3 linked regions of the Arabidopsis thaliana genome follow. The protein of the gene in region 1 interacts with the protein of each later gene in a pairwise test. Each region holds a gene or a part of one and is shown on either strand. Other genes may lie near its edges. The genes, in order: CIPK8, CBL1 and SOS3.

Evidence for each region.
Region 2: the proteins of CIPK8 (region 1) and CBL1 interact in binary tests that used the Arabidopsis thaliana proteins (3 or more experiments, as listed by UniProt).
Region 3: the proteins of CIPK8 (region 1) and SOS3 interact in a two-hybrid assay, tested with the Arabidopsis thaliana proteins (one study listed by BioGRID).

The regions. Positions count from the first base shown.
Region 1 is NC_003075.7:12,612,539-12,623,264, reverse strand, and holds CIPK8 (CBL-interacting protein kinase 8), read right to left. Parts: upstream 6,287-10,726; 5' UTR 5,887-6,286; coding exon 5,728-5,886; intron 5,644-5,727; coding exon 5,581-5,643; intron 5,488-5,580; coding exon 5,416-5,487; intron 5,331-5,415; coding exon 5,223-5,330; intron 5,149-5,222; coding exon 5,074-5,148; intron 4,976-5,073; coding exon 4,922-4,975; intron 4,843-4,921; coding exon 4,717-4,842; intron 4,447-4,716; coding exon 4,357-4,446; intron 3,985-4,356; coding exon 3,862-3,984; intron 3,701-3,861; coding exon 3,584-3,700; intron 3,471-3,583; coding exon 3,354-3,470; intron 3,191-3,353; coding exon 3,134-3,190; intron 3,051-3,133; coding exon 2,976-3,050; intron 2,886-2,975; coding exon 2,784-2,885; 3' UTR 2,551-2,783; downstream 1-2,550. Other genes in the region: AFB4 (RNI-like superfamily protein), read left to right, coding at 7,299-7,900, 7,990-8,488, 8,586-9,356; AT4G24380 (dihydrofolate reductase), read right to left, coding at 9,679-9,887, 9,975-10,104, 10,189-10,410, 10,487-10,711. UniProt on the Arabidopsis thaliana protein: CIPK serine-threonine protein kinases interact with CBL proteins. Binding of a CBL protein to the regulatory NAF domain of CIPK protein lead to the activation of the kinase in a calcium-dependent manner.
Region 2 is NC_003075.7:9,812,846-9,822,811, forward strand, and holds CBL1 (calcineurin B-like protein 1), read left to right. Parts: upstream 1-3,508; 5' UTR 3,509-3,765; exon of another isoform or gene 3,766-3,901; intron 3,902-4,141; exon of another isoform or gene 4,142-4,173; 5' UTR 4,174-4,296; coding exon 4,297-4,375; intron 4,376-4,789; coding exon 4,790-4,872; exon of another isoform or gene 4,873-5,135; coding exon of another isoform or gene 5,136-5,171; coding exon 5,172-5,231; intron 5,232-5,335; coding exon 5,336-5,444; intron 5,445-5,534; coding exon 5,535-5,587; intron 5,588-5,707; coding exon 5,708-5,788; intron 5,789-5,884; coding exon 5,885-6,178; 3' UTR 6,179-6,508; downstream 6,509-9,966. Other genes in the region: AT4G17610 (tRNA/rRNA methyltransferase (SpoU) family protein), read right to left, coding at 29-191, 278-577, 661-871, 959-1,434, 1,537-1,643, 1,731-1,824, 1,910-2,065; AT4G17616 (Pentatricopeptide repeat (PPR) superfamily protein), read left to right, coding at 6,763-8,787; AT4G17620 (glycine-rich protein), read left to right, coding at 9,160-9,568, 9,651-9,898. UniProt on the Arabidopsis thaliana protein: Acts as a calcium sensor involved in the signaling pathway during growth and development and in response to abiotic stresses. May function as a positive regulator of salt and drought responses and as a negative regulator of cold response.
Region 3 is NC_003076.8:8,237,899-8,250,065, forward strand, and holds SOS3 (Calcium-binding EF-hand family protein), read right to left. Parts: upstream 5,546-12,167; 5' UTR 5,233-5,545; exon of another isoform or gene 2,330-5,232; 5' UTR 2,282-2,329; coding exon 2,191-2,281; exon of another isoform or gene 2,089-2,190; coding exon of another isoform or gene 2,073-2,088; coding exon 1,990-2,072; intron 1,913-1,989; coding exon of another isoform or gene 1,900-1,912; coding exon 1,840-1,899; intron 1,753-1,839; coding exon 1,644-1,752; intron 1,536-1,643; coding exon 1,483-1,535; intron 1,364-1,482; coding exon 1,283-1,363; intron 1,178-1,282; coding exon 1,065-1,177; intron 962-1,064; coding exon 883-961; 3' UTR 585-882; downstream 1-584. Other genes in the region: AT5G24275 (En/Spm-like transposon), read right to left, coding at 7,052-7,265, 7,343-7,480, 7,561-7,777, 7,874-7,988, 8,118-8,273, 8,373-8,654, 8,754-8,839, 8,921-8,987 and 6 more.

The sequences.
Region 1 (10,726 bases):
GAATCAAACTATTAGATCATTTTTGATACAACTAATCAGAAAACTAATTATAATTAAGTATGGCTACTTTGCAAATTTAACTTTGTACAAATCCCACTATGGAAGGCAAAAATATAAGTGTTAGGGTATGTCGGTCAAGCTGAGCAAAGGCAAGCCGTTAGCTGAACAGTGGATTCTACTAGTAGTATAAAATTTTCTCCTTTGTTAAATGTGAACCTAAATCTTAAACAAATAAAAATGTTTTTTTTAAAAATAAAAGTAGAATAGAAAAGAGAAGAAGAGAAGAGTCGCGAAAGATTGAAGAAAAAGAGGAAAAGACACATGTCCAGCTCTGAGTTGATCAAACGGACCAATAAAAGTTAGGCTTTTAATTTACTTGTCTCCTTGAATGAATACAAATGTGTCACGTTTCTTTTCTAGCTCTTTCCGGATCTGTCAGGCTCGTACATTTCTCTCCTAGTTTATTGATACCTATAATATTTATGCCATAATCTATATACAGATTTCGCTGGTTATTCTTTGAAGGACCACACGGATCATAGCTCTCGTAGGTCACATTTTGGCTCGTCCAGTTTTTGTTTTCTTTCTTTTGATTAAAAAAGAATTTTTTTCGAGATTTTTAAGAATTATTTAAAGTTTAAGAGGTTCTAGAACAAAAGATTTGATAATACAATTGTTTTATTAAAGCAGTGTAGTTGAGTCGAACTAATTGACGTAAAATGTGTACCAAAACGTGAACCTGAAAACTCAATTCAATAAGTTATAGATGTTTTATATATATAAATCCATGTTTATGTTAATAATCAAAAAATTCAGTTTTATAAAAATAGTTAAGAGATGTTTTTGCAATGCATGTCCTTACACTTGCATAAAATTCATATCTTCTTCTTTTTTTCTTTTCTTTTTTTTTATAAAGAAGAAGTGGTTTTGGTTTCAAAATGACAATTTAATATGACCATCATCTAGTTTCTGTATTTTGGTTTATGTATTGTAGAAATGTCCTCGTGTATCGTTTTGTGAACATAAGCGAAAATCATAGCAAATTAAAACCATTCGGCCAAATGAATAACAAATAAAAAATTCAGTCGAAATACATTACAAATTTGTTTCCAGTTCTCATGCTTTCTATATATAGTTCTATACTTCTACTTAACCAAATCCATTGCATGTGACACTACTACTAGGCCACAAAATATATAAGCAACTTGTCATATCAATCTGTAAAGAAACTTAGTAATTTATGAAATATACTATTGTTAATACATAATAATTTTCAAAAGCAATATAGAAACTTTAGTTAAAAGAACAGAATCATAGAAAGATGTGTTGTAACTTGCACTAGTTTAAGTAATGAAAATGTTCAAACTACTACTAATATCGAATTTCTTCGTCGTCACTAGTAGGAAACAAAAATTATAATTATATTTACGTATATAATACTAAGCATGAAGTACCAAGTTGCAGCTACTTGGTTATATGTTTATGGTGTTATGGACCAACTTGTACTCGTCTTTTGCCATAAACAACTTTAAATTTGTGAAGTTGGAAGCGCCACGACCACTGTAGTTTTTCCATGCCGTAAACTAATATATATATTAAAAAATGTTGACAATTCGAATGATGGATGGTGGTGATCACGATGAATGTAATATGATGGGTTATATAAGTTTAAATTTAGGAAATCTCATGTAAACTATACAAAATCTCGTATATCAATTCCATATACAAACATGAACAACAATAATTTTTTAATTACTTTATAGAAGACATTGTTAGACATTGTAAAACATGAACAACAATAATCTGTTTTTCTTTTTTGTTTTTGAAGAAGTTAAAAGCTAACTAAGATGTGATTTTACTTTTTATGTTTTAATACATTGCAGCAAACTTTTAAGATGTGCATTTGTCCTGGCTCAGGAAAGATAATTCTGTGGGAGGTTTGAGTTTATAATGTTTCTAAGTTCATTCATAAATTATAAAATGTGTTTCATATTGAAAGAAACATTATATATAGATCAACTAGACTATAAAAAAATAGTTCCGATTACAATATATTTTGTACGCATGCATCTGATAAACACCTGTAAGACTGGTAAGTTGAAAGATTAGATTCGAGAGTCAAAAACATTATGCTAAAGTTGGTGAGTAACAATAAGGAATAACATAATGTCAAACTCAATATCATTTTAAATTCTATTTCAGCAGGGTTGACGAATCATAATATTGAAGCCTAAGTGAATACTACTACTATAATATTATTCTTTCATTAAGGAATAATGTGAATGTCAAACTCAATATCACTTTTGGTTCTAGAGCAAACCAACCACACACTTGTGTGAAAATAGAGAGTCTTAACTCTTATCTAATCCCTAAAAAGGAGGGAAAATAGAATGACACTGAAACGTGTTTGAGATGCTGCATCAACTACTTCAAAACGTGGCAGGGAACAAAGCCAATTAACATAGGGACGTCCCTACCAGTATACATATATACTCAGAAGGACGAGACTGGTGAATGTATGAGAATAAATGAATTATGTTGGAAGCATATGGATCATCGCATCAGACCGTATTCAAATCAGGAGAAACTATCAGCAATTTTCACTCAATTTAGTCTTGATATCGTATAAGTTTAGTACAATCTTCTATGTATTCATAAATTAAAACCAAATCAACAAGCTTGTACATATTCACTCGACTAAAGCACTTAAGAAACACAGAGAGTTAAATATTGTTTCTAACTGTCTTCTGTGAAAGCTCTGCTTGAATACCACGCACGTGGATTCAACGTCTTTTACTCTTGGCCTTGGTGACTCGATTTCTCATAGATGCATCTGGCGGCTTCCAAATGATGTCATCAAGCTTACTACAAAAAGTCTTGTAGAACTGCAAAACATAAACTGGTTTTTACTATTCCGGAGTCACACAATCCCTCAAGGTGAACTTATAACACTAAGGTCTCCTTCCGAAACTAACCTTAAGGTATTCTTCTGCGTCTCCTGCTGCATTTTGAATGTCTACCATGAGAATTGATGGTGCAACTTTGAAGACCTTCAGATTTGAAAATGATTAGTGAGACTTCGAACATAGAGAGACCAAAGTAAAAAAGTTGGACTGGTTTTAAGAGAAGTTACTTCTAGTATGACGGAGAAATGAGATGTCTTATTTGCAGATAATCCTTCCACTCTCATCTGAAAATGGAAACGGTTAACAGCTGTTGGGTGCTTTGAGAAGGCTGAGATGATGATATGATATATAAACTCTCAAGAAATGTTAAGATACACATCACAAAAAACAATGAAGCGATTTCAACCGATAAGAATGCCTAACCAAACTCTTACTATAGTACCTCACCTTGTAATTACGAATGTGTGTCTTAAAGCCCATAGACTGTGACACAACTTCCATGCTTGAGAGAACCACGTTTGCTGGCTTGTGTGAGATGAACCTTGTCTGGTGCTTCATGGAGTCCTGTCAACACACATGAAAGATTAGCGTATTAGTTGTATAACATGTAGAAAAGAGAAAGAACAATTAAATAAGGAATAGGAATGCACACAGTGGGGTCACACCCAGTATTGTACCTTTCCACGGTCAAAAAGAGTTGCGAGGTTCAGGCCCTGAGATAGAATAATTAGGTCAAACGCATTTAGAGTTAGTGGACCTGTGTCTCTTGTTCCATCCTGTGCATATGTTTGTTCCTGCAACGTATAATGTTAAATAGAACATCAAATTATTAGATCATGCTGAGTGCAGGCAGAAGAATAATCTCATAAGCTTAGAACAACAGTAACTCTGGAAACACATGATTTATACACAAATACTCAACAGCAAACAAATAATTGTGCTAGCTGAATCCTACCTCCGGATCATCAAAAGCAGCATATACATCATCCAGGTTTACATGTTCGTAATCGATAAGTTGTACAGGAGTGTAATCCTTTAGAAACCACTCATCTTTCCTGATTTCTGCAATTGTAATCCGCTGCCAGGAAAAGAAGAAAAACAAAAGCAAGGCGAGATTTGTCAAGACTTTGCATCGAAAAGAGTAACTGGGACAACTTGACCCGACAACTATGTCCTGTAATTCTTTCAGTTGGCACATTATCCATATTCTATAGACCTTCCAAAATGGTCCAGACAGTTATGGAAGAAAATGCTTAGACTAGTTCTAGGGTCTATTCAAGTGTAGAAAAGAATGATATGTTCAATTGGAGCTGGTCAAAGATTATAGTGTAATCTAGATATCTCTTTTTCAAGCTGCTGTTCTTTCAACATGTAACACATCTTTCAAATACAGTAGCCAGGATTGAAAAAGATCTAAACAAAGCTATCTGCACGGAAACTCAAAACTTACAGTTTCTGGATTTGGATCCAAAATTCTATTAATCAAGGACTTTGCCCCCAGGGCAAAATATGAGGGGCAAGAGAACTCAGCTTTGTCGATCTGAAAAATGTTGGACAATAAGAAGAAAAGGAAACCATATCAGAAAGAAAGTACATAGATGCCTTACAAGCACATAACACGGAAGGTTTAGAGAAAGGGAGTCTTGACTACAGTGAAAATAATTTAGCCATAACGATTTCTATTACAGGTTCTGCAGATATTGCTTGTTCAATCCTAGTGTTTAATTGGGATAATTAAACTAGGCAGCAACAAGAAACTTTACAAAACAAAATATCAAGAATCAAGAGGCAACAACAGCAGAGCTCATGCCTTACTATATAAAGTTGGTAGATCCATTTCATCAAATGGAAGATATCCTGCCATAAGAACATAAAGGATGACCCCACAGGACCAAATATCTGCAACGGCACCATTGTAACCCTTGTGACTGAGAACCTAAACCAAAACGGAGAAGAACACATAAGCTATGATAAGAAAGACATTAAATTTCAAAACATTATGATATTTGATTTACCTCAGGAGCAACGTAATTGGGAGTTCCACATGTTGTCTTTAGGATGGTAACTCCCTTCAGATCAAAGTAAGATAATTTAGTCAATAATGATCCAATAACAAACTAAATTCTCAAAATTTGAAAGAAAAGATGTCACTGAGAACCCCCATTACTTGTTCAGGTAATGCACTGAGGCCAAAATCAGATATCTTGAGATTTCCTTGAGAATCCAACAGAAGATTTTCCGGCTGCAATTAACACAAGACAATCATCAGATCAAGAACAAGTGGTAGAAATGTATTAATTCTTAGCAAGTATTCACCTTTAGATCTCTGTGGTAAACACCTTTACTATGACAGTAATCAACTCCATCAATAAGCTGGTGAAAGTATTTCCTAGCTTCTGACTCACTAAGTCGTCCATTACGAACCTATAGTAGCAATGAAACAAATGAATCATTCAACAATATCTGACAGAGTAAAACGCTGTAAAAATCATCACCAAGAGCTACTCACAATCTTATCAAACAGTTCACCACCAGTAATGTACTCCAGGATGATATAAATCTTTGTACGGCTTGCTAGAACCTAAAAAGGACCAAATATCAAAATCCCAAATGGAAAGCAAGAATCTTTCAGTAAATTATAAAGCAAAGAAGAAGAAGCAAAACATTCACTTACCTCATAAAGACGAACAACACAAGGATGACGAACAAGCTTCATAATCGAGATCTCTCTCTTAATCTGCTAACACATGTCATCAATCTAATCATATCTCAGCCAAAATGAAATCGAAGAGAGTAAGTAGTAAGAAGATAGAGACGGGACCTGATCCACCATCTTGCGCTTGATGATTGTGCTACGATCCACGATTTTCATGGCGACGCTCTCACCGGTCTCTGTATTCTGAGCGAACTTGACTTTAGCGAAAGTACCTTCGCCGATTGTTCTACCTAATTCATACTTGCCCACCTTCCTTACCACCATATTCTCTTCTGCTTCTACTCAATTTCAATTTCACTGCATTTCTTCAAGTCTAGTGTTTGATAGATAGAGAGAGAGAAAGAGGAAAGGCAGAAAAAAAGTTTCGAATTTTAAAATTAAATTTATAACGACAAATATACAGAGCAAAGCTTTTAATTAATTAGGAAAGTCTCAAATTTGGGAAAGAGATAGGTGTTTAAATTGCAAATTGGAATTAAAGAAGCTTTAATCAATAGAAAGCCAAAGTAATTAAGGGAAAATATATAGATTTGTGATTTGTGTTTGATTACAAATCTATGTAGAGCCAAATTAAAGTAACAAGGGGTTGGGGGTTAAAGAGAAGTCAGAAAAGGAGACTTTGACGAAGGAGACGTGTTCGGCGACTACTTGCCACATTCTAATATTTGGTTGTTTACACGTCATTCTTTGTAATGGAAGGTCAGTATATTTATACCATAATTTCACACTAATACGACTCCTAGCTTTTGAAAAATATCTATAGACTTATGACCCATTTATTAGTAGTTAGTGACCAAGACTATGGATACAACGTCGTTATGACTTATTCTATAAAACTTGACTTCGAAATTTCTTCTTTTAGGGAACTTATTTGAAATTTATCCATATTCTAAATAATTGCCTTTTGAAAATTTTAAGAAGCATATTTGAAGATATCTATAACAATTTGCCTTGTGGAAAATTAAGCAAACACATTTTTGAAAAGATAATCGAATAAGGCATACAGTACACTTATCTTCAAAACCCATTATTGGCAGTAAACCAACCATTAATCACCTTTGATCTTGTTTTGGCCACCATATTATGAGATATAATAAGCCCAAACATTTTTCCTTTACACGAAAGCCTTGAGGCCTTCTTAAGAGAACACAATCGAAAAGTTGATTGTATGATAAAAATTAAATTCATGTAAAATGCATTAACTTAAAAAAGGATGAAAGTGACTTTAGATATTAGTATTATTCATTTAAAGAAACAGTACAAAACACTTTTAAATCCTTTTAATTTTGGTTAAGATTCAACAAGTTTACATGATTACCACTTACATAAAACTCTAAATGTCACCTGTCACACCTTAAAATAGAAGTACAAATCTTTAATAGGATTAAAAATCATGTTTGGTCACAAAATACTTGATGATTCTTTTTATTTCTTCATCAACAAAAATAATGTGCAAAACCAAAAATATTTGTTTTTTTTTCTTTTACATAGTCTCCTAAATAATGGAGGTGAAAATGGAGAGAGAGAGAGAGTCCAAACACCAAGACCAGCTCCTTTTTCACCTATCTCTCTTCTTCATCTGAATCAGATTTTGTATCAGAAAGAGAGCACCTGAGCTCATAAATTCTGGATAAGATCAAAGTCAGAGTCTTTCTTGTTTTTCATCACTTACTTGTATGACAGAAGAAGATAGCTCAGCTAAAATGTCAGAGGATGTTGAGAAATATCTCAACTTAAATCCACCTTGCTCCTCCTCCTCCTCTTCTTCCTCCGCCGCTACATTCACGAACAAGTCTCGAAATTTCAAATCTTCTCCCCCGCCGTGTCCAGATCATGTCCTTGAGAACGTTTTAGAGAACGTGCTTCAGTTCCTCACTTCCAGATGCGATCGCAACGCAGTCTCATTGGTCTGCAGATCGTGGTATCGCGTCGAGGCTCAGACTCGATTAGAGGTTTTTATTGGAAACTGTTACTCGCTCTCTCCTGCTCGGCTTATTCACCGGTTCAAGCGTGTTAGGTCTCTTGTGCTTAAAGGGAAACCTAGGTTTGCTGATTTTAATCTCATGCCTCCTAATTGGGGAGCTCAATTCTCTCCTTGGGTTGCTGCTACAGCTAAGGCTTATCCTTGGCTCGAGAAGGTTCATTTGAAGCGTATGTTTGTTACGGATGATGATTTGGCTCTTCTTGCTGAGTCGTTTCCTGGGTTCAAAGAGCTTACTTTGGTCTGCTGTGAAGGTTTTGGGACTAGTGGTATTGCTATTGTTGCTAACAAATGCAGGTACTTTGTAGATCTCTTCTCTTTGTTTGTTTGTTTGTTTGTTCTCAGAGTCTTCTAGAAATGCTTATCAAGTGGGACTTTGTTTTCAGGCAGCTAAAGGTCCTTGATTTGATGGAGTCAGAAGTCACAGATGATGAGTTGGATTGGATTTCTTGTTTTCCTGAGGGTGAAACTCATCTGGAGTCTTTGTCTTTTGACTGTGTTGAATCCCCTATCAATTTCAAGGCATTGGAGGAGCTCGTGGTTAGGTCACCATTCTTGAAGAAACTTAGAACGAACAGGTTTGTTTCCCTTGAAGAGCTGCATCGACTAATGGTTCGAGCGCCGCAGTTAACGAGTCTTGGGACGGGGTCATTTAGTCCAGACAATGTGCCTCAGGGAGAACAACAACCGGATTATGCAGCTGCTTTTCGTGCTTGTAAATCCATAGTTTGTCTCTCAGGATTCAGGGAATTTAGACCGGAATACCTCCTAGCCATCTCTTCAGTTTGTGCTAATCTCACCTCTCTTAACTTCAGTTATGCTAACATTTCTCCTCACATGCTCAAGCCCATCATAAGCAACTGTCACAATATCCGAGTCTTCTGGGTATGTATCTTTATTGATCTCATTGTATAGTATAGTGTAATATCCTTTAACCGAGGACTTTGAGTTACATGCGTATCTTGAAACTTTTATAATGCAGGCTCTTGACTCGATACGTGATGAAGGACTACAGGCAGTGGCTGCCACATGCAAGGAGCTCCGTGAGCTTCGGATTTTCCCTTTTGATCCTCGTGAAGACAGTGAAGGTCCTGTCTCGGGAGTAGGCCTCCAAGCAATTTCAGAGGGCTGTAGGAAACTGGAATCTATCCTGTACTTTTGCCAGAATATGACCAATGGAGCTGTGACAGCCATGTCGGAGAACTGCCCGCAGCTTACTGTGTTTAGACTTTGCATAATGGGTCGCCATAGGCCTGACCACGTGACAGGAAAGCCAATGGACGATGGATTTGGTGCCATTGTTAAAAACTGCAAGAAGCTAACCCGACTTGCAGTATCAGGGTTACTAACAGATGAAGCTTTTAGCTATATAGGAGAATATGGGAAATTGATCCGTACGCTATCTGTAGCGTTTGCTGGGAACAGTGACAAGGCTCTGAGATACGTTCTTGAGGGTTGTCCTAAACTACAAAAGCTTGAGATCAGGGACAGTCCCTTTGGAGATGTTGGATTGCGCTCTGGTATGCATCGGTATTCCAATATGAGGTTTGTTTGGTTGTCGTCATGTCTCATATCCCGTGGAGGCTGCAGGGGTGTTTCTCATGCTCTGCCTAATGTAGTCGTGGAAGTATTTGGAGCCGATGGTGATGATGACGAAGACACTGTCACTGGGGATTATGTTGAGACATTGTACTTGTATCGATCCCTTGATGGCCCAAGGAAGGATGCTCCAAAGTTTGTAACAATTTTATGAGAAAAACTTTGGTGCAAATGAGGCCATGATTGGGGAAAAGCAAAACTAGCAAGCAGAAGATAATGTGTTTGTAAACTGTAAGTGCTTCAGGTACACTGCATGATTTGTTTTGCCATTTTCACTCTTCTTTGGATTCGTTATATACACCAAGAAGAGTATTATAGCTCAAAGGAAGACAATGTATGAAAATGAACGAAAGAATCGTCTATTATTGTTTGTGTTGTAATAATTGTTTTTTCGCAAACATTGCCAGATTTATTTACAGTCATTGCACGATTATTATCCAAAGAATTATTCGTTATACATAACATTTTAAGCTTATCTATTTTGTTGGCTTACTAGTATTTTCTTCACCATTCTTGTCTTCCTCCATCACCAGATGCTCTAAGGTATCGATAAATGCGGTAACTTTCTCCAAGCTTTTCTCATCAAGCCTTGGGACAGTATGGCCTTTGGGATGATGGACAACCACCGGATTCTTGTACGATTCTATCAGCTGAGTTCCGTAAGGTTTCAGAAAATCAGTCTCTCCTGCAACAAACAAGCCATTTATCAGATTCTCGATCATCAATGAACAAGGTTTTGAAGAATTTTCAAATCAGCTTTTGCAGAATGTACCTAAAAAGTGGAGGGAGAGAGTTTCCAAGGAAGACGAATATGCATTCTCGGCCAATTTGGCGGATTTGAGCTTAGCTCCTCCAATGATTATAACAAACTTAATCTTTGGTACTTTCTGAAATGCAATTCCCTGCAAAAGTTGTAAATGAATCAGAAACAGAATTTGTAAATAAATATGATCATGAATACTATAGTGTCATTAGTATTGACGTACCTTAGCTTGCAGTCCTGGTAAACCCCCAGACAAAATTGCACCCTGCAAAATCAAATTTAGAGTTTTCAAAGAGAGTACACAAATCAGACTCTGTTGATGCAATTTCAAATGTAGATAACTTACCTGGGAAAACCCAATGAGACCATCGAAAGGACCAAGCTTGATCATACGATCCTCCAGGTACTCCAAACATTTCTCGAAATTCGTATACTCGGTGAATTCCTGAATCCAAATTACAACGTTAGTACACATACGAATCAAAAGAATAAAGAGAAGAAAGTGAAGAAAAACAAAGGACCTTGTTGAATTGAAACCACTCGTAATAAGGAGGATCAAAGATGCCTTCGACATCAGATTTGCCTTGACAAGGAAAAGGTGCATCGAGAAACACGAGATCGAGTCTATCAATTACAGATTTAGGCCATTTATGAAGCTGTATCTTCATTATCTCTCCGCTCGTACGAAATCCATGGAGACACAAAAACCTTGGCTTCCTCGCAATCGATCTTCCTTCGCTTCCCATTCTTCACAATTTGTT
Region 2 (9,966 bases), 2.8 Mb from region 1:
ACAATATGCTACAACAAGCAAACAGTACCTAGAGGGTTATCATGACGAAAGCCTCGATTCCAAAGAACCTCTAACCAATTAAAAATTTTAGCTTCTTCATCTGGAGTTTCCATGTGACCATGATGAGAGTTATTACAGTCGGATTTCAAGGTTCCATCATATCTGAGAGATGACTTGATTAATAAATCAATCTGAAAGGTAGATTAAAAAAAGCAATGAGCAGAGGAGAAACGCATCAAGAGCAGAATATTTACAAATACCAGAGAGATTAACTGACCTGGTTACTCCATGCTGCTTCTACAAGATGAGTGCCGTACTCCTCAAGCATCTCATACAAGAGCAGAAAAGCTTGCCATCCCTGCTGACTAGTCAACCCAGAGTCGACAGAGCCATACAATTCTCCGACGCCAAGCGACTTGGCTTCCTTTTCTGCCCACGTCTCCTTTCTTGTCATAGACCGATTAACTGAATTCCCTTCGGGCTTCTTCTCAGAAATGGTCTCACTCACTTCAATAATGGATAAAACTGATTTAAGTATATGCAATGACTGCTTCCTTACTAAGCTCTCATCAACAACCTGAAAAGAAATGTTTTGTACTCATGGATGACCCTATTGTGGAAATTGGAGAATCTGTAAGAATAGCGGTATTTTTGCCATACCAAGCCTATCTTGATTTCATCCCAAAACTCTTGTTCAGACCTCAAGTCAAATTGAACAGCGTCTTTTTCTGAAACAAAACTTTCAGTTCCGTCAGTCCAAGAGCCAGAAGAAAGACACAAAGACAGAACACTGTAAGCATCCCTTCTCTCTATTGATCCAACCGAGAACAGCTTCTTGCAGCATTCCCAAATTCTTTTTATGAAGCCATTCCTGGAGTTTACAGCTTTAAAAATCATTAAAGAGATCAAAGAAAAAAACTAACCAAAAAGCACATAAATTTTTGGTTCTTAACCTCACCTTGAAAGTATGAACAGATTTCCTTGGTGTGAGATCTTCAAGGATGACTGAGAAGAGAATGCCTTGAAAATAGCAGGGAGGAGGAAACTAACAGCACAAGAACGATGTTCTACACTTTGTGACAAAAGCCGCTCAGTCGTATTACACAAATCCCAAAGCATACCAGCTGCAAAACTTTCCACCTTCGGAGCTGCTTGGTGACTTTGAAAAGCAGCATTCAGAATCAAATTCAGAAGATGGCACGACAATGGAATTGGAAATGATCCAGACAACTGTGCAATGTAGTTTTCATCCATATCTATTGTATTCAAAGAATCACGGAGGCAGAGGTCGCCCCATTTGATGAAATCTGATTCTTCGTGTTGACGCATTCCCATCGAAAAACCAACTGATCTTAGTAAAAATGGCACCAAGCTCACTCCCAACATATCCAATACATTAGTCTCGATCACTACATCAAAGAACGATTCTACAATCTGGTACAATCAAACAAAGAAACCAAAAGAAACAACAAAATGATCAACAATCTCAAGGAGATCAAAACTCTAAGGACTATAGTCAACAGCAGAAATTTCTACCTTATTAAGCATATCCAAATCATATGCACGAACCATCTTCATCAATGGAATAAACACTCTCCACACAAATAGCTGCAACGCATTATGATTATCCGCAGCAACAAAGCCTGCTTCAACCTCATAACCATCAATTAAACAATTCTGTAATCACTAACACATCATACATATCTAAAAATTCAAAATTGGTAACTCACCAAAATTCTTTAGTAGATGACAAAGCCCAGCCACCAATGAAGCTATGTGGTTGCAATCATCAGAATCAAATCTCTTGTCCCCATTTACCGTATCCTATTCAAAAACATGTTCAAATCTTAAATTGAACAATCCGAAGCAAATTGCCGAAGTGTGAAACAATAAACCAATCAATCAATACCTCTAAACGAAAAGGGAATTGCTCAATGAGAGATTCGAAAAGAGTTGAAGGAGATACGCCTGTGGAGCTTAAAACACAGTCAAGGAAAGCAGGAATAGCTGCTGGTGGAACTTGCTTGAAGCTCAGTGACAATGAAGTAATCACTGACGAACCCATTTCAATTGAAGCTTCGAACTTCAAAAAAATTGGCTGCAAGCAGCCAGAATAGATGAAGAAACGTAAACGAATTTGAAATTAGTACAGAGGGAAGTGTTACGAGGAATCTCTCTGTTAAACCCTTTCAAATAATTTTCATGGCTTAGGACAGATAAACCCTAGTCGTATAATTAGGGGGGAAATTAGAATTATTGATAAGGGCTTTCTTGGGCTTAACTTAGTATGATTGGGCCGTATGGGATAGACTTCAGGAGAAGAAAAAAAAAAAAAAACCGGAAATTGTTCGGGGGATTGAACCCGACGTGAATCGAACACGCAACCTTCTGATCTGGAGTCAGACGCGCTACCATTGCGCCACGGATCCGGATGTTATTATGTTGCATTTATAAAATTATAATACCGTAGTATACGCAAATTAAACAAAACATTTTGAGGACGCGTTCCCAACACGGCCGGTGACCAAAGAGTCAATTTAAGCCCGCTTTAAAGATATCAAAATGATATAAAACTCTAATTGATCGAGTTAACGGCAGGAGAATCAAAGCTACTAATCATAATCAAGAAATTTAATATATATACGCTATTATTATTGTTTTGAACGATAAACACGTGGTCTGGTCGTGATTAAGGTCCTAATTATGTCAACGTTTGCCTGCCACATTGCAGACCGAAGTACTAATTCCACACCGACTGGTCTACGACATATTTAATTCATAAACACAATACTTTATAATTAAATTGATTCTTGTAGAGATTTGGCTTCATGATCTGATTTATTTAGTTAATAACCATTTCAACAGATAATTACAGTTTAGAGCCTTTTTCCAGTTGTCAAGAGTGTTATGGTTTTAAAATGGCACCCTGTAAATATCACATATGTTAGTGGATTTATTTTACCAAAGAAACAAAAAATGTTAATGGATTAAAAAACTTGTGTTTTTTTAGATAGCAAAACCAAAAGAAGATATGGTGACCACTAACACGATCAGTCGAAGACAAATGTTTCCCAGACTTTATTATTGGCGTTTCCATTTTGCATATTAGTCAAATTATGGAGCATCGCAAATATCTAATAAACTAACTATATAAAAAGTTATTATAATACAGGGTTACCAATTCCGTATATTCAGAATATTCCTAAGAGGTGCCATTTTGACTAATAAAATGGACGGATCTTTGATTTATTCCGGAAGTGAATGGATATTAGAAGAAACAAAAGAAATTTTGAATTTCTTGTCCAAAAAATATTTTTCCCATTCTTAGTATACAGAAACATAGAAAATATCGTGTATGCTTACGTAACAATCAAGTTGTAAAAAGAAAAAAAGACAGAAGATAAATAGTACAGAATGAACATAACAGAAATCAATCTATGGAATTAGGTACAATTAGGTTCGGTCTAACTGAAATTACATGACGACAGAAAAAACTGAACTAAACGCCGATTCTATTAACTTCCAAAACTGACTCGTCTCACACGCGCTTACTATGATTCACACGTGCGAATATGCCATCATATAAGCGCTACTAAAATTCATTCCAAAGGAAAAAGAAAAATAAATAATCGATCTCAACCGTCCGATCATCCATCTTGCCATCACCGTTCACCAATCTTCTTCGTCTCCTCTCTCTTTCTCTCTTTTTGCTGTTTCTAGCTCCTCTCTCTCTGGATCTCGCCGGCGAACCGTTTCTCTTGGGTGGTGAGTGTTGCTTCTTATTTTTAAGAATCTTTTTCTTTTATTTCCATCGAATTTCGTTTTTTTGAGTTTGATTTTTGGCCTGTGGAATTCTCGATGTTTCTACATTGATCGTCTGGTTTCGAATCGTGTTTTACTGGTACAATTTTGATTCCATCTCCGTATCTTATGGATTCGAAGAACTTTGTGTTTTTTTTTTCTTTCTTCATTGATGCTACTTTGCTAGGGTTTACACTTTTTTCTTCCATGGTAAAAAAATTTGAGCAAAGTTGTTGAGATTCTTCTAGACTGTTTTCAATTTTACGTTTCACAAAGATTTTTTTAGATGATTTGTTTCTAATGAAATGGCATTGTTTGTGTTCTGTTTCCATATGTGTAGATTTTGAAAATATGTTTGTGATGATTGTGCAGTAAACAGTAGCAATCAAGCTATAGAATCTCAGATATCGCTGAATTAGCTGTTGGATTTTATCCGCCTTTTCTTCGTTATCCGGGGCTCGGGTATAAGGTTTCATCGTCTTATTTCATCTGTAAATGGGCTGCTTCCACTCAAAGGCAGCAAAAGAATTTCGAGGACACGAAGACCCTGTTAAGCTTGCCTCTGAGACAGCTTGTAAGTTTACTCGCGCTATAAGTTTAAACCTCCTCTAGATTCATTTCTCTCAAAGCTGCATGTTCATTTGTTTTCTGATATGAGATGAGAATCATCAGTTAGATTCAAATCATTCTTTCTCTGTTCACTGATTTAGTTTATCTCCGGTTTGGATTTTTTTAGTTTTGTGTTTTGGAGTCTTTGTCTGCCTAACAATTTCTAGTAATGATCCTTCAAAGTTGGTTAACACTCTATCTCATGTTTCTTGTTACCAATACCATCACCTTAATCTTGTTCCTTAACTTGTCAAGACGAGTTCTCTCTCCATGCAAATTCTAAATGTGAATTATTAGTCTCTTTGTTTGTTTGTTTGTTTGTTCCTGGTAATTCTTTGTTTTGATCTCGTAGTGTTGCTTGTTTTTTTCTCTTTTCCAGTTAGTGTGAGTGAGGTTGAAGCATTATTTGAGCTATTCAAGAGCATAAGCAGTTCGGTTGTTGATGATGGTCTGATTAACAAGGTACAAAGTTTGTTTCTTTTGACCCAATTTGGATCTTTTCATGACCCCATCGTTGTATCTTTTTGTTCTTTACGCTATTCATCTACAGTATTTTTCAACTTAGTTGACTTTATTTGAGCAATAATTATTCTTCCATGACGATATGTCTGTTCCATATTGCATCGATTCAATGTATCGTAGCCCTTAATGTTTGACTTGAACTTAACTTATTTTATTGATTGCTTTGATTTTGAATTTTGAAGCCTTCATGGCCCACCTTGTTTATGTTGTTTTTTAATCCTGGCTTCACATGTATGCAGGAGGAGTTTCAACTTGCTTTGTTCAAAAGCCGGAAGAGGGAGAATATATTTGCTAATAGGGTAAAATCTTAATTCTTCAGGCTTTTACAAGATTCATCTTCTGGAAGAGTGATCTAAACCAAGATAATATGTCCATTATCCTAAACAATATTGCTTTTCCGCAGATATTTGATATGTTTGATGTTAAACGAAAAGGAGTCATCGATTTCGGGGACTTTGTAAGATCACTCAATGTTTTCCACCCCAATGCTTCTCTAGAAGACAAAATAGATTGTAAGTTGACATAAGATAGTTTCATATATAGGTGTTTATTGAAGCTTTTGTGAAGAGATTTATTGATTCTGGTCTGCCATTTTTTCTCAGTTACGTTTAGGCTTTACGACATGGACTGCACGGGTTACATTGAACGACAAGAGGTAATACTAACTTGCAAGCTTTGAATACTAGTCATGATAGATCTTTGCCATGTTCTTGAGTATTCATCTTTTACTTAATAACTTTGCAAGAAATCGTTAATGAATGTGATATATTTGCAGGTCAAGCAAATGTTGATCGCGCTTCTCTGCGAATCTGAAATGAAACTGGCTGATGAAACCATAGAGATAATACTCGATAAGGTTTGTTGTTGTCTAAGGCTTTATTTTTCTAGATGGTATACATTTAGAGATGATGTTCTTAATGTGGTTTCCTTCGTCCTTCTCATATATGAACAGACATTTGAAGATGCAGACGTGAATCAAGATGGAAAAATTGATAAATTAGAGTGGAGTGATTTCGTAAACAAAAATCCATCATTGCTTAAGATCATGACTCTTCCATATCTCAGGTATATTACAAATTGCCTTTTATGGAAACCAAAGAAAACTGAAAAATGCCAAATGAAATGTCATATTAACTTGTACATAAACAATGCAGGGATATTACGACAACGTTTCCGAGTTTTGTCTTCCATTCGGAGGTCGATGAGATTGCCACATGAAGAAACAAACTGGTTTAAGACCGAGTAGATTGCCACGAGTTGGAAGAACAAGTCTGAGCTAATCGGTGTAATCAACATCTGTTTGTAAACAGTAGTAGAGCATATTCTCTTGAAATTGTTTGGGTTACTTTTTTCTTCTCACAACAGTTTAAAATTTTGGGTTTTTAGCTTACAAAAAAAAAAAAAGAAGAAGCGCGTAATCACCAATCCTTCACTTCATATAGTTAGGAAATGTTAATGAGTTTGTACATATTACATCATACGTTTGTTGTAATTGTTTTTTTTCAAGTAAAAAAGTAAAGATTTGTTACGTTTACTCGGGGTTCTAATTGTTCCAATGGAATCTTATACTGCAAAAACGTGAATTTGAGATTTTGTTGGGTCCTTAACCGCAAAAGCGAAAGTACGAATGTCCTAGGACCCGACCCGATGAAATTTACAGTCTTGCCACTCTTCTCTTGTTACAGTGTTCCTCTCTTCTCTCTCGATTTCGAAGTTTCCAGCAATTTAGGGTTCTTTCTCGATTGGAGAATTCGTATGTTGTTATCATGTTCTCGTCATTGTTGTGCTTTCTTTGTTAAATTCTAGATTTGGAATCGAAATTCTAGACTAATGTTTAGGAAACGGAACTTAGTTCTAGAATCATTTCGTCGATTCGATAGCGGTAACGTAGAAACCCTAATTTCATGGGTCTTGTGTAGTCGCACCTCAAAGCCGTCTCTGTTCTGTACTAGTGTTAAACCTGCTAGATTAAACTGGGAAGTTTCTTCTCAAGTAATTCTCAAGAAGAAGCTAGAAACAGCTCTTAAAGATCACCGTGTAGATGATGCTTGGGACGTGTTTAAAGATTTCAAACGCCTCTATGGATTTCCAGAGAGTGTAATCATGAACAGATTTGTTACTGTGTTGTCTTACTCGTCTGATGCTGGTTGGCTTTGTAAGGCTAGTGATCTTACTCGTTTGGCTTTGAAGCAAAATCCAGGTATGTTAAGTGGCGATGTGTTAACAAAGTTGTCGTTGTCTCTAGCGAGAGCTCAGATGGTTGAATCTGCTTGTAGTATCCTTCGAATAATGCTGGAGAAGGGATATGTTCTAACCTCAGATGTATTGAGGCTTGTTGTGATGCATATGGTGAAAACAGAGATTGGGACTTGCTTAGCTTCGAATTATTTGGTTCAGGTTTGTGATCGTTTTGTGGAGTTCAATGTGGGGAAAAGAAATAGCAGCCCCGGGAATGTTGTGAAGCCTGATACGGTCTTGTTTAATCTTGTACTTGGTTCTTGTGTGAGATTTGGTTTCTCTCTCAAAGGCCAAGAACTTATCGAGCTAATGGCAAAAGTTGATGTCGTTGCGGATGCGTACTCGATTGTGATCATGTCTTGTATTTATGAAATGAATGGTATGCGGGATGAGTTGAGGAAGTTCAAGGAGCATATTGGTCAGGTACCCCCTCAACTTCTTGGTCACTATCAGCATTTTTTTGATAATTTGTTAAGCCTGGAGTTCAAATTTGATGATATCGGTTCTGCGGGTCGGCTTGCCTTAGATATGTGCAAGAGTAAGGTCTTGGTTTCAGTTGAGAATCTTGGATTTGATTCTGAAAAGCCTCGGGTTTTGCCTGTTGGGTCACACCATATCAGATCTGGGTTAAAGATCCATATTTCACCCAAGCTTTTGCAGAGAGATTCATCTCTCGGAGTGGATACTGAAGCAACATTTGTTAATTATTCCAATTCCAAGCTTGGTATCACAAACAAGACTCTTGCCAAGTTAGTATATGGGTACAAGAGACATGATAATCTCCCTGAGCTATCAAAGCTTTTGTTTTCGCTGGGTGGATCCAGGTTATGTGCTGATGTCATTGATGCTTGTGTTGCTATTGGTTGGTTAGAAGCTGCTCATGATATTCTTGACGACATGAATTCTGCTGGCTATCCCATGGAATTGGCCACATATAGGATGGTCTTGTCAGGTTATTACAAGAGCAAGATGTTGAGGAATGCAGAAGTTCTTCTGAAACAAATGACGAAAGCCGGCCTAATTACAGATCCATCAAATGAAATTGTGGTTTCACCAGAAACTGAAGAGAAAGACAGTGAAAACACAGAGCTCAGGGATCTCTTGGTTCAGGAAATCAATGCAGGAAAACAAATGAAAGCTCCAAGTATGCTCTATGAGCTAAACTCGTCCCTCTACTACTTCTGCAAAGCTAAAATGCAAGGAGATGCCTTAATAACCTACCGGAAAATCCCCAAGATGAAAATCCCACCAACTGTCCAAAGCTTTTGGATCTTGATCGACATGTACTCATCTCTTGGCATGTACCGGGAGATCACAATCGTGTGGGGAGATATCAAGAGGAACATTGCAAGCAAAAACTTAAAGACAACACAAGATCTGTTAGAGAAGCTTGTGGTGAACTTTCTCAGAGGCGGGTATTTTGAGAGAGTAATGGAGCTTATCAGTTATATGAAGGAGAATGATATGTATAATGATCTAACCATGTATAAGAATGAGTATCTTAAGCTTCATAAGAATCTATACAGAACCTTGAAAGCATCAGATGCTGTAACAGAGGCTCAAGCTCAGAGGCTTGAGCATGTCAAAACCTTCAGGAAACTAGTTGGTATAGTATGAGTGTATGACTTTATTTACGTATCCCCTGTATTACATTTATACCTTATACATACGGTTATAGTCTCTCTTAATAATTCTCTCTTTCTTCTCTCTTCAACTCCTCACGGTAACAACTTGTGCGGAAGTTAAAAACAAAAGTTTGGGAGTTTTTGGAATATTATTGAAAATTCAGGGATTACTTAAAAAGTTGCTCCTAAAATGGGCCTTTAATTTATATAAAGCTAAACTGGCCTGACTTTTAAACCGACTGAACTCAAACTCGGTCGGGTCGGACTTTTAACACTCGGATCTGAGCTATTTGGGTTTGGTGGCGTAGAATTCGATCGGAAACTCTCTGCAACGGAAGGAGAAATAGAGATACCTAATTTGGTCATGGATTCACCGCCGAAGAAAAATCCTATGGATGATTTGTTCGGCGAAGACTCCGACAACGACTCACGATCTTCGCGTTCGAAATCGTCTTCTTCCGGTAATGCTTCTTCGTCTTCTTCCTCCTCCTCGTCTTCTTCGTCTTCGTCTTCTGCAGCGGGAGGAGATGGAGAGGGAGATGGAGGTGGTGCGGATTCTGGCAGCGCAAGCGATAGCGGAAGTGGAAGTAGCGGCGGGAAAGAGGAGCATGGAGATGATAAAGTAGAGAGCTATAGAAGCAATGATAATGGAGAAAGTGGAGTTTATCCTTATGAAGAGGAGGAAGAAGAAGAAGAAGATGAGAAAGATCTTTTTGGGTCTGATAATGAAGAGTATACTAAGACACCTGCAATTAGCACTTACTCAATTCCAGGTTAGTTCGAATTTGCTTGAGACTGAATTGGCTTTTGGGTTTCTCTGGCTGCTAAGTATTTTCTGTTATGAAATAATGACAGTTTTGCCTGCGGGATGGAGCAATGATAACCATGGTGGGAGAGGGGGAATGGGACGTGGTCGTTGGTCAAATGGGAGAGGAGGACCTGGGCTTCTTCCTCGGCCTGGACCTTACCCTGGACGTGGTGGTAATCGTGGTGGTTTTGGCGGGAGATACCAGAATTATCAGCGTGATGAACGTTTTGTTTCTGAGCTTAAGCTTTCGAAAAGCAAAGAAACGTTGGCTAGAAAACAAACCAACTTTCAGGAGGTAATATATATCAAGGAATGCTGTTTTAACTACTACATTTTTATGGTTATGGTAACGCGTTTCGAATT
Region 3 (12,167 bases), on another chromosome or scaffold:
TGCACTACACAAAAAGGAGTCAACTTTATCACGTCAACGAAGATTAACAAACAGTAATCAATTATATCTTGAATTTGACATCAATGGGTACAACAATGATCAAAATGGTTCTTCAATTCCTCAGCAATAAGAATCAAATACATGCGTATTAACGGAAAAAGGAATCGTCGATTGACACTGGAAAGATGGGAACTTGTTGAACTAAACGAATTTGAAGAGGAAGAGGAAGATGGAGATTAGAGTTGAAGTTGGTGGGCTTACATTGGAAATGGAGCTGATCAGAGAGATTGAGAGATAGAACTAAAACTGGTTTGGTCCGTCTTGGAGATAGATTAGAGAGAGATTCCTCGGCTTGCTTTGTTTTTCAATTTTTATATATAATAAAGTGTTTATTCAATTAAAAATTCAACATTATTTAATATCTAGAATGTATAAATAATTTTACTCAAGAACTAATTAAAATAAGCAAAAATTATTTTCATAAATCATCTACTTTTAAAATTTCGTTTGATATATATTAATATTATCTACAATAATAAACCATGTGTGTACAAATTTTTTATTGTTATTCTAAAAAAAACACGAATATTTTCATGTAACAAAAATATGAATATCCGCAAAAGGTGGATCATATATTTTGGTATATACAACAATGAAGCAATAATAGACTAGATTTGTAAATATTTAATTAGTAATTATGTATGTGAGATGGAGAGTCGCTATGTAAATAACTAAATATATACAGTACACAAGGCAAGTCCAATATCGTTATCAAGATCGGTTTATTTCCAAATCCTAGCTTACATCTCTATCTTCCTCTTTTAAGATATTGTACAAAAATATTCGTTTTATGTATATTTATCTTTCCTTGCATGGCTTATATTAGGAAGATACGTTTTGCAATTCCATTTCTTCCTCTTCACAAGATGAAACGAAACTTGGAAACGTCCTATTTATGTCCCTACATTTACCAAGAATCTTCTGATTAGTCAATTTGATTCAATGCAACAATCAAAGCAGTTGGTTTGGATCAAAGTTGGTCACGGTGTAAATTATGAACTCACTTTAGATATGGCAAAGTCATGTTCTTGATGAGCGATGGATTCAAGGATACAAAGTCTTTCCATTCATCTATATCGATTTTTCCGTCGTTTTTGCGGTCTGCTTGCACGAAAGCCTGCAAATATATACCACCATTTCCTTATAAATTCTTTATCATATCATCTTCAGTATTGGAATTAATATCTAGTAAACAAATGTGCATCGGTGTGGGAGTGATTACCTTATCCACCATTACTTCAATCATATCTTCGGAAAGAACTAGTTCGGATTCGTGAAGAAGCGCTACTACCATCTCTTTCAACTAATCAAAATGTAATTCATTATGGTATATACATGTTAGATCAACACACATAAACGTTAGTGGAGTAAAACTGTTTAATCTGGAGGGTACCAAAACAAAGTATCCGTAAATGGACTCACTTCTTCTCGCTCGATGAATCCAGTTTGTCGTAAATCGTACAACTTGAAAGCAACTGCAAATTCATGAGAAAATTCTTTGTTAGTTAGCCAATTAAGAAAAGAATATCAAGTAAATTCACATAGAATGAATATGAAACAATTTTTGGGGCTAGAAGAATGACATTTGACTTTTTCATGGACCGGCGCGCTTGGATGGAAGACACCTAAGGACCGGACAAATTCACCAAACTCGATCACTCCATTTCGCTTCACATCAAATACATCAAATATCTGCATATTATAAAACAGAACTTTGTTTAAATTTACATATGTTTTCAATAATGTCACTTGTTCTAGCTAGGTAGTTACTATATGTACCCGATCAGCGAAGAGATTCCTCCGGTTCCTATTTCTGAATAAAGCCAGCTGAAATTCTTCCTGCAACATCAAACTTTTAAACTCTAATTAAGCTATATAGATTACCTAATTGCTGTCTACATATGGACCTTTTAGAGTGAAAGAAGAAACCTTATGAATAAGACCATCATCGATAATTGAGCTGCTTAGCTTCTTGAACAGTTCATACAAAGCCTCCACTTCTTCTACCGTGACTATTGTCCCTCCCATTACAAGTAAAATAAAATTTGAAAAAGTTTACCAAACTCTACAACATGCTATTGTAACATTTAAAGATTGTCTTACTAATAAGATTTTAAACTAAAAACTAACATGGCGTGACGGATGCAAGAAGCTCGGGATCCTCATATCCCGGTGGTCGCATTGCATTCTTCTTCTTCTTCTTCGATACAGAGCAGCCCATACAAACACACCCTTCTCTCAACTGTTATTAGCCTTTGCTTTTCTCACGCTACAACCAAACGCAAATAATCTTGGTTAATTTACAGATATTTCATTGTTCCTAATAATTTGATGATTTTATAAAACACCCTTCGACTGAATCCTACATTCGTTTTCGCTGGTTTTACTTCTACTAAAAATGGTCCTAGAACAAACCAATTAAGATCGAGTGCAATTAATAATAGGCAACTTGTTTAGTTTGTCACGTTATTGACTTTTCTAGTGTTTTTTTTGTGGTCAAACTCAAACAAAGTAAACATATTTTGGCAAACTCACGAGATTACCAAAATGTTTCTAATGAAATTCAATATTTAATTACATATACATACATGAAATATTAATGTAGATGAGCACTAATCATGTACATCTAATGCATGTATATATATATCGTCTATGTATATGTAACATTTGAATTTCGTTAAAGGCAATCTAGCGTCGAATTCATCAAAATCTGCAAGAGTTTGACAAACATCGATATTAAAATTTTGAAAGGGTCGACGTTTGAGCAAATATACAATAGAAGTCGACGGCTATACGAACGATTATGTCATTGGTTTATACATTTTTTTTTTTACATAATAAATACATAGGATATAGGTGGCAAAGTTAGCCATTAAAATAGTTGTAGCTTTCACGACAGCTAGTAAGCTCTCCCTAAACAATCAATTCATTAACAGAAGTAGCCAAAATTAGAACAAAAACAGCGTTTTCCCTATTTAATCTATAATTTAGTAATGATTCACAATAAACGTAATGAAACCAAATATTATATAATTCACAGAAGGTGTAGGCAAGTCGCCGTATTAGCCACGCTAATGACTAGGTGTATAGATATAAGAGATAATTAGTTTACTCCTAATTTTATTATCCCTAATAACATAGATAAATGATCAAAGTCTCCTATGATATATGCATACATATAGATAATACATAAATACAAATACCGGATCAATATCAAATCTAATCGACGTTGGTCCACGTATATACATGAATCAGTCAATGTACTCTAGTAAATATCTACAAAGATGTTTTCTTTTCTTTTCCAAATAAGCTTGAACCTATGTCCAACTCAATCACAAGAACACATTTAAGCGAGTAATACAACCATGTCGTAAGTTTAGGAACATAATAAGAAGCCGGATAGGTTGAATAAATAACGGCTTTGAATGGTAACTCATTATCAAAGTTGTACAAACTGTACAACTTTGACAGTTACCATTCAAAAAAACTTTATCAAAAACGTTACAAAAAGTTTTATTCTAAACTTTTCTGTACAGCTCTTTTAGACAGTTTTGTACTATTTCGTAACAGTTTACCGCTCCAGCTAACAGCTAAAGTTTTGTGTTACCAATCAGACCCAACATGATTTAAGTTGTTTTGGTGAGTACATTTTTAAGTGAAGAGAGACTAGAATGGATTTTGAACGAAAAGGATAGAGAACTAAGAGAAGAGTTACAATATGAATGGCCATGGGACCACATTAAAAAGTGATGCTTTATCAAAAATCAATAATCACGAGATTGAGACAACCTTTTGTTGCTTTTTTCAATGTAGGCAATTTATATGTGTTTTACTAATAAATAAAACAAAAAGGGCTTGATTACACTTACACTAATATCTAGAGACTATATAGTATATTTAAATCTCGTTTTGTTCCAAAAAAGCCACGTAAAATCCTCAACCATACTAGCATTTAATTTGGTACATATCAGAGCCTGTCTTTGACCAGGCAAAGCGAATCTTGAACTTGGAACCTCAAATCTAATATAGTATATATTTGAAAACTACATGAGCCTAGTTGGTTAATTAATGAATCATTAATAATGATCAACTAATGCCTAAGGAAGGTTTTGGTGCATTTGGCTTTTCTATGACATTTCTAATTAATGTATTAATTTATGGACCATTTTGATTTTGTTATGTGTGGAGCCTCCAAATTCTCATTACCTGTTTTTTAGATCTATACGTAATCATACTCAATGTACGTCGTGTAAACAAACTTAGACATATCTAATTTAGAAGCAGTATTTTCATCTTGTTGTTTACTTCTCGCGATCTTTTTGTATAATTAATAACAAAAATGTTGTTTAATCAAACCGGCCACGCAGCAATATGACGTTTTAAAATTAATTATTTTCTCTATAAGTATTTAAATAGTAAAAATGAAAAAAAAAAAAACTTGCAGCTATTGACTTTTATAATTTATTTGCTATAAATAAGTTTATTAGGTGTGGTCTTTGATTTTTAGTAAGAAATCAAATTTGCCATCTCCTCTCCTTAGACTCTAAATCACCAAAAGTGACACAAGAAACAAAAAAACAGTTCTAAATATCTAATGGCTACCAACTAATTAAACACCCACCAAAATCGAACCGAGATGGACCAAACCGGATATGATCCAATTTGTAATCTCTAATCTGAAATAACTTGATTTCGATTGAAACCAAAACCAAAGCCAAATTCCATTGAATGATTAATGGAATGTTGGAAACTATACACTCAATTAGAAGAAAAACAAAAATCAAACGGTTCAATTCAGTCTATAGCACTAAAGAACTCAATTGAGTCAGTTTTAAAGAATGGTTTTGCTTTGGTTTGTTTGTTTTTTCTAATATTTAACCGAATTATACTAAATCTTATCAGAAGATTCCTGGAAACACGGACATATTTTGACTCTTTCTTGAAGAAAACCCAAGATGGGATAAACTTCAAGCTCATAAACCTCCATTTCGAAAAAAAGAGAGAGGAAAACAGTGAATTCCTTTACATATATCTTGAGGTGGACTAAAAATTACGAAACAGAAAACCAAAACATGGAAGTGATAGAAAAAAAAAACATTGGATAGAGATGAAAGATTTTCTCAGCAATGGTGAATCGAAGAAACAAAAAAAATAAGATCAAAAATAACTAACCAAGATATGGATGAATCTCTATATGTTCTTGTCGACTCTTCACTTGTCTCGATCTTGAATAATTGAATAATGGTGTTGGAAGAGGAAAAGGGCAAAATGAGAGTTATTTAAATAGAAGAACAAATTTGTGACGAGCTTCCCAACATCGGGTTAGGTTTGTGTCCGTCCATGCGCAGATGGATCCCGATGTTATGTCGGTTTTGAAAATATATTTTTATATCGTGTACTATAAACTATATAGCAATGTTTCCTCGACCTTCTATTTATGACAAACAAAAAAAATATTAGAGTAGTACTGTTTTCAAGTCCCACCTCACTTTTTAATTTCCTTTTGTTGACACTTGTGGTGGTTGTTGGCAAATAATCTTTTAAAAAATTATAAATATGAGAGGCAGTTTTTGATATAAAAATAACCTAAAATATTATTCACTTCTGAAAATACACCAATTTTAAAAAAGTTAATTATATATTTCATAAGAAATTTTGTCTTACACCTTCGCTTGATGTGTTTGTCTTGGACCTTAGTTTGATGTTTGATATAAATAAAATGGACACTCTTGTGACCAAAAAAAAAGTCGCTAATATATTTCTTAAACTAACTAATACAAATTTTCTTACAGATGATTGATAATTACATTTATACGTATGCTCATTTTTGTAGTAATTATTATGATTCCGATAAAAATGAACTCGATTGTTTATGAAAATTTTAACAATTACCATGAAAACGTAACTATGAAAGAGATATATCACATTCATCATCGTCAAGCTACCAGATTCCACAATGTACATCACTTTTTATAGGGTTTGGAACTTGTCAGCTGATCATACCCGTCCTATAAGAGAGCTTCCTACTCTTACATAAAAAAAAACATGACAACACTGAAACTACATGTGCCTAACTTTTCTAACTTTCGTCATGATCCACAGAGTTTTATTTTCTTAGTTCAATTACAAAATCTTTATTTTATTTATAGTTGACCCATCATTTCATTTGCACTTTTTCAATTAAACAAAAAATTACGATGTGAAATGATAAATTTTCCTTCACTTTTTGCCCACTAGTATTCTCTTTTTGTCTGTTGGATTGGTGATATTTTAAAAGTTTGGTTTTGCTACCATGGCTATTTTCTTATAATATGTTCGTTATGGTTCAAAAAATCTAGTTATTTAAAAAGATCATAGCAGCAAGATCAAAAACAAACTTTTGAAATAGAAAATTGGTGAACAAAATACCATTAACCGAAAAAGAAAATGAAATTTCAGAACAAAAGTGACTAATCCAAAAACACAAAAACCAAACCGATAACCAACAGGTAAACAAACTGTTTGAATCGTTTTAGGTCCAGTTTTACTCTCATTACTCTAAAGACTGAGACTGGATTAGCTCTAATGAGTTTGTGACATTGTGATATTTTTCATTTGTTTTCTTCATTTTCTTGTCTACCTTACGCATTGAACACTTCTCCTCCTCTATCTTCTTCGCTGCCATTCTCACTTTATCTCTTGCTGCTTCCATTTTTCTCAGCTTCACTTCTTCATCCTCCTTTAGTGTAATCGGGAAATGAAATTCCGGTATGCTGATCCAAAAACCATAAATCATATCATCCGCAGTAAATACAGATGCAAGGAATAAAACTCGAGTTTTGAGCTTTACAGTTTAAATTCAAGAACTAAAACGGATACAAGGATCAAGAAAAGGTCAAGTACCTGCACCCGGAATATATGAATCCGTTATCTTTTGCGATAAAACCATCTAAAGAGACTGCACCACCACCATTGATGTGTGGAAGAGCTGCTTTAACTTGCTTTTGGGTCTCTATACCTGTAAATTCCCAAAGAGATTATAGAACAAAGTCTCTCTAAGCCCGTATCCTGAGTAAGTTTGAACAGTGAGCTCCTCTGGAGCCAAATCAATCATGTTCACGGCATAGCCCTTGAAACCCGGTATGGGATCTCCATCGGGCAGCTTTGGGTCATCCATGGCTAATTTCTTCTGAGGATCGTTCTCCAAAAGTCCATCCTTCCAAGGTCTGCGTGTTTGAAAAGATCACTTATGATTCTGTCAGAAACGACTCTAAGGTTTAGCTATCGATATGTTGACAAATACCTGATTGCATCAAGACATAGAACATGAAACCGATGATTGGACTGAAGCCTGAGAAACTCAGCATTATTAGGTCCAATTTGTGCCGATTTGCATACCAAAGCGAGCAACATGTCTTCTCCCAAATATTCAGATAACACCCTGCATACCAAATGACTTCAGATACAAAAGTTTTGGCCACTATGATCAGTAGTAACACTGTGGGTATAAATTTATGTCACCTGCTAAGGGAGGTGGAGGCAACTGAACCAAGAAGTGCTACGAGGCCAAATACTCCTTTCTTTGACAGAAACAGTGACTGTGGAGGCGGTGACTTTCTGTACAAACAACAGAAAACTGATGCTGCAGTGTCATGATGCTTCTCTTCAATCTGTTTCATCATTGATTCTTTGGTGGATAGGCATTCTGGGAACATAGCACCGAGAGGTTCTAGAGAAGCTGAGATAAAGGTTTAGGCAACATGAGCAGGTAAGCATCAATGCAAATTCAATCCCCATCGTAGTTATCAAAACTTCTTCAAATGATAATAGTTACCTTGCAAGGTACGCAACTCTTCCTTAGCCTGGTTTTGTTCAGCTTCCAAACAATGTAGGCGCTCATCTATTTCCACTCTGTGTTCACTGTATCCAATAAGATTTTCTTTAAAGCTCTGCAGGAAAATTCAAAAGTTAACTCGGAAAACAAAAGTTAGATCATTCGAGAAATCGTTCTGCTTTTCCTAGGCATAAATGAAATGTAAACATCAATATCTGTGGCTTAAATGGTGATGGCCATATACCTCAGTGAACTGTGCCACATCCCTCAGGCTCGGGCCAGTTTGGCTACTGAGAGCCGGTGAATATGTGGTTGAAGCCATCTTTGATTTAGGTGTTAAACCCATCCTTGAATAAGATGTCTCATCTCTTTGAAGTATTTGAGCAGGTGTAAGCTGAATCTGTAAATCAAGAGGACATGTTATCAACAACCGGCATTTTCTACTCATTGTAAAAACATATTGCAACTTGTAAGATAACTCAGTCCACAACATTACTACCTTTAAGCTCAGATGAAGCTCGGGAAATCGAGAATGGAAAACCTTGAAAGAAAAGACACCCTCCCTCTCAGGTAGAGAAAGAGTAGGAACTTTGCAGGAACCATGGACAAAGGCATATCTGATTTCACTCTCATCGCTGCTTGAATCAGTTTCAATGCTCATTGTATGGAAACATCCAGATTTTTCATCATGATGGATACTAGTATCCATAACACCATCTGAATCCGTCACTTTAAAAATGAGGTTTGTAAGATTTGAACCAGCAACACAGCATTCAGGCAGCTGATCAAAACAAACGATTTCAGAATGAGAAAGACAGAATAAGAGAAACAAACTAAGACTGCATTGACACAATCAAACCTATGTTACAGATATACTAACCTTTGTTAAGAGCATGAGCTCTCGTCTCTCAGTCTGAGACTCTTTCTTGAAGATCTCATCAATACCAGACATAACCGAGAGAGATACTACATATTAAAAAAAAAGACATTAGAAAATAAGAAGATATGAATTATTACATCTTACAAAAGAATGGTAGCAGATGTTACTAGTTTTCCCATAGCCAGCCGTGACTTGGAGTATTCCAGACAGATCAATGCAGCCACAACTATTAACCTGTGACATCATCAATGAACTTAGAAGAGTAAATAGAACATTGCTAAATTCTTGTTCAGTGATAAACAGAACATTCTCGCACCTTTTGGTTTAAGCCCATCGAGTCATTGATACAATAGCCCTCAATACATATCAGAACATTGGTACCTTCTGCAACATGGTTATTATATCCATCGAACACCTGCATAAAAAATATTGTACATAGCTTGATTTGATGTAATTATTCAATACTTAACAAATAGACCTTTACCTCCAAGATATAATTTTGAACAGTAGAACCTGGAAGCAAATTCTCCAAAGCCTCTGGATACTTCTCAACAACATGCTTCAAAGGTCCAGGATTAACTGAAATATGAAAAGCTTGTGAAGTAAATTATCATTCTACAGAAAAGTACTCTTCTAAATCAGGTTAGTTTGTAACTAAAAACATTTCCTACTGTTGTCAATTTTCTCTGTTCCATAAACAAAGTAGAAATTATAAAAATGTCAGTTAGTTGGAGTAACACTATTTAAGATTTTGCAGCACAGACATATTACTATACAAAATTAAAGCATAAGGCTTACCTTTACAAGAAACTGAGACAGAAAATGGTTCATCAACGCAAGAGATAGAGCAAGGAGGAAGTGAAGAACCCACCCTGTAGACACACCATTATATTGATCAAAGTTGAGATCTTAAAGTGCAGGAACAAAAGAAAGGTCACATGTAAGGAGTCTTACTGAACATTATACTGCCGCGTGGACTTGAGATTAGAAGCAAGTTTCCAACTTCCCACTTTCGAAGACGGTTCAACAACCACCCTTTCGTTAGTAGTAATCGAGTTTCCCTGATCCGCAGTTACACCTAGATGATAATAATACCAAAAAACACACATTAACCAAGTCTTGACACAAACCAAAAGTTTTTACTTCTTCTTAGTCCTTGTCAAAATCTGACTCCTTACCCTTAATATCCACTTTCTTCCATGTCAACTTTGCCTTTTTTCTGCCTCTTTCACTTGTTTCTTGAAAACCGACTTGAATTTCTTCTCCTTTTTCTTCTTGTTCTTTTGCCGTTGTTGTGCGTGTTCTCTTTCTCCCGTACATCCTCTCCACCTTGCTTCTCTTCTCACTTGACTCATCTTCTTTCTCTTTCTCTTTATCTGTTTCAGTCTCATCTTCTTCCAAGTCATTCTCTTCCAACTCTTTCTCTTTCTCTCCATCTTCCTTCTCACCTTTAGTATCTTTAGCTTCTTTTAGATTCTTCACACATGATTCCACATATGTAAGTCTTGTATCCATGTCATCAATCTTCATATATATTCTGTTTAAACCATCTTCCAACTGCTTCTGTAGCTGCTCAACAATTCCTTTTTCACTCACCTTCTTCAGAGCCACCTTTTTCCGACCAACTCTTACCCCAACAACATTCGCATTCTTTGGATTTGCCTCAATCTCACGGCTACTAACATCTTGGATATGAAGCTCTTCAAAACATATTGGCTTATTTTCCTTAATTATACGCTTCGTCCAACCATCAACAATCATATCATCCACATCATCATGTCCAACCTCATCATCCATGATTTGCTTCAAAAGTTCTTTTTCACTAGGAGATGGAAGCATGATACTCTTAATTTCCTGTGAATGAAAAAAATACAATTTGTATCCTATACTCTCAATTAAAATTTAAGGTAATAATATACGATTAAATCATTTCTAACCTTTGTTGTACCAAGAGTATCATACAACTCCGAAATAGGAAAGCCTTTCATACTACTAGGTTTGAACTTCATCTTGCACATCCTAGGACACTCAGGATCTGCTTCTCTAACATGTTTTCTAAAGTTGTTCATTAGATTTGGGATGGTCTCAAACGCTAGAAGCTACAGACAACACCAAAACATTCAAACAGTAGTTATACCAAGTTATACCAGTTGTAACCAGTTTATATATCATAAACACATTCAAAATACATACCTGCATCACGAAGCTAGGAAACACCCATGCTGCGCCCAATTCTTCATCAAAGTGGTCCATGAGATGAAAAATGTCTTTCATATTCTTATCAAATGCTAATCGACCCCATGGGAATGTTTTACACCATTCTAGATCTTCCACGGATTTAAGAAAGAAATCTTCCACAGCCTCTGCTTTTTCCCCTGTTTTTCTCTTCCCAATGATGACGCTGCATAAGAAGAATAGGACCGCCATTTTCAAACGCTCTCTCGAAGATTTCTTCATTGAGAGTAGTTTTGTCTTCACTTTCGCATATGTTACTGTTGCACCAACACCAAAATGCTTACCAGAGAACCCTAAGCTGCCAAATGCTTTATAGTTTTTTGGATAAGAATGGCAGTATAAACCAGAGATGAGTGCAAGTTCTTGAAGAGAATAGCGGATTGGAACACCGTTGACAACAAACCAACATTCCTTCTTCTTATCAACACAAGCGGTGCGAAGAAGAAGCATCCACATGGCCATTACCTTGTGATTTGAATCCGTATGCATATGGAAGAAATGTTTGAACTGTGGATGCTCCCAAAACCATTTCTTCTCCTCACTTGAAAGATGACTCTCCAAAATATTCACCACTTGATGAATATAACACTTTGTTCCTATCTTGAATGGCTTCAAATAATCGGAGGGGCTAAAGTACATTTTCAAGGGTCGTAATGGTTCAGTTTCCTCTTCAGAATCCTACAATCAATATCAAGATGTGCCAAGTTACAAAATCATCTGAGTTATACCAATTTCTACTAAGTTGTACACAGAAACATACCATTGAAATTTGCTTAGTTTCTTCATTATCATCTCCAAGCAACACTTGTTCTTCCGAAGGATTGTACTCTTCACTCTGGCTCGGGTTCTCTGTACGCGCCGTCTTACAAATCTATAAACAAAACCAACAAAAACGAAGAAATTCATACTCGGACCTAAGTAATAACCTTGTATTTTAAAGACACATAAACTTGTAATTATATATGTTAACTATCACAAGTATTATTATTGAGAAACTTAAAATCAGATCCGCAAAAGCTGTCTCAAAGCTATAAGTTTGTGTAGTAACAGAGCAAGTAGCACAATGAAAAAACAAAAAAAACAACGACTCACATCAAGACGGAGTACATTGCACAAATCAGGCTTAAACTTGTCAAATCGAACGATTTCTTTAATCTTTTCGCCGTTAAACTCGAGATA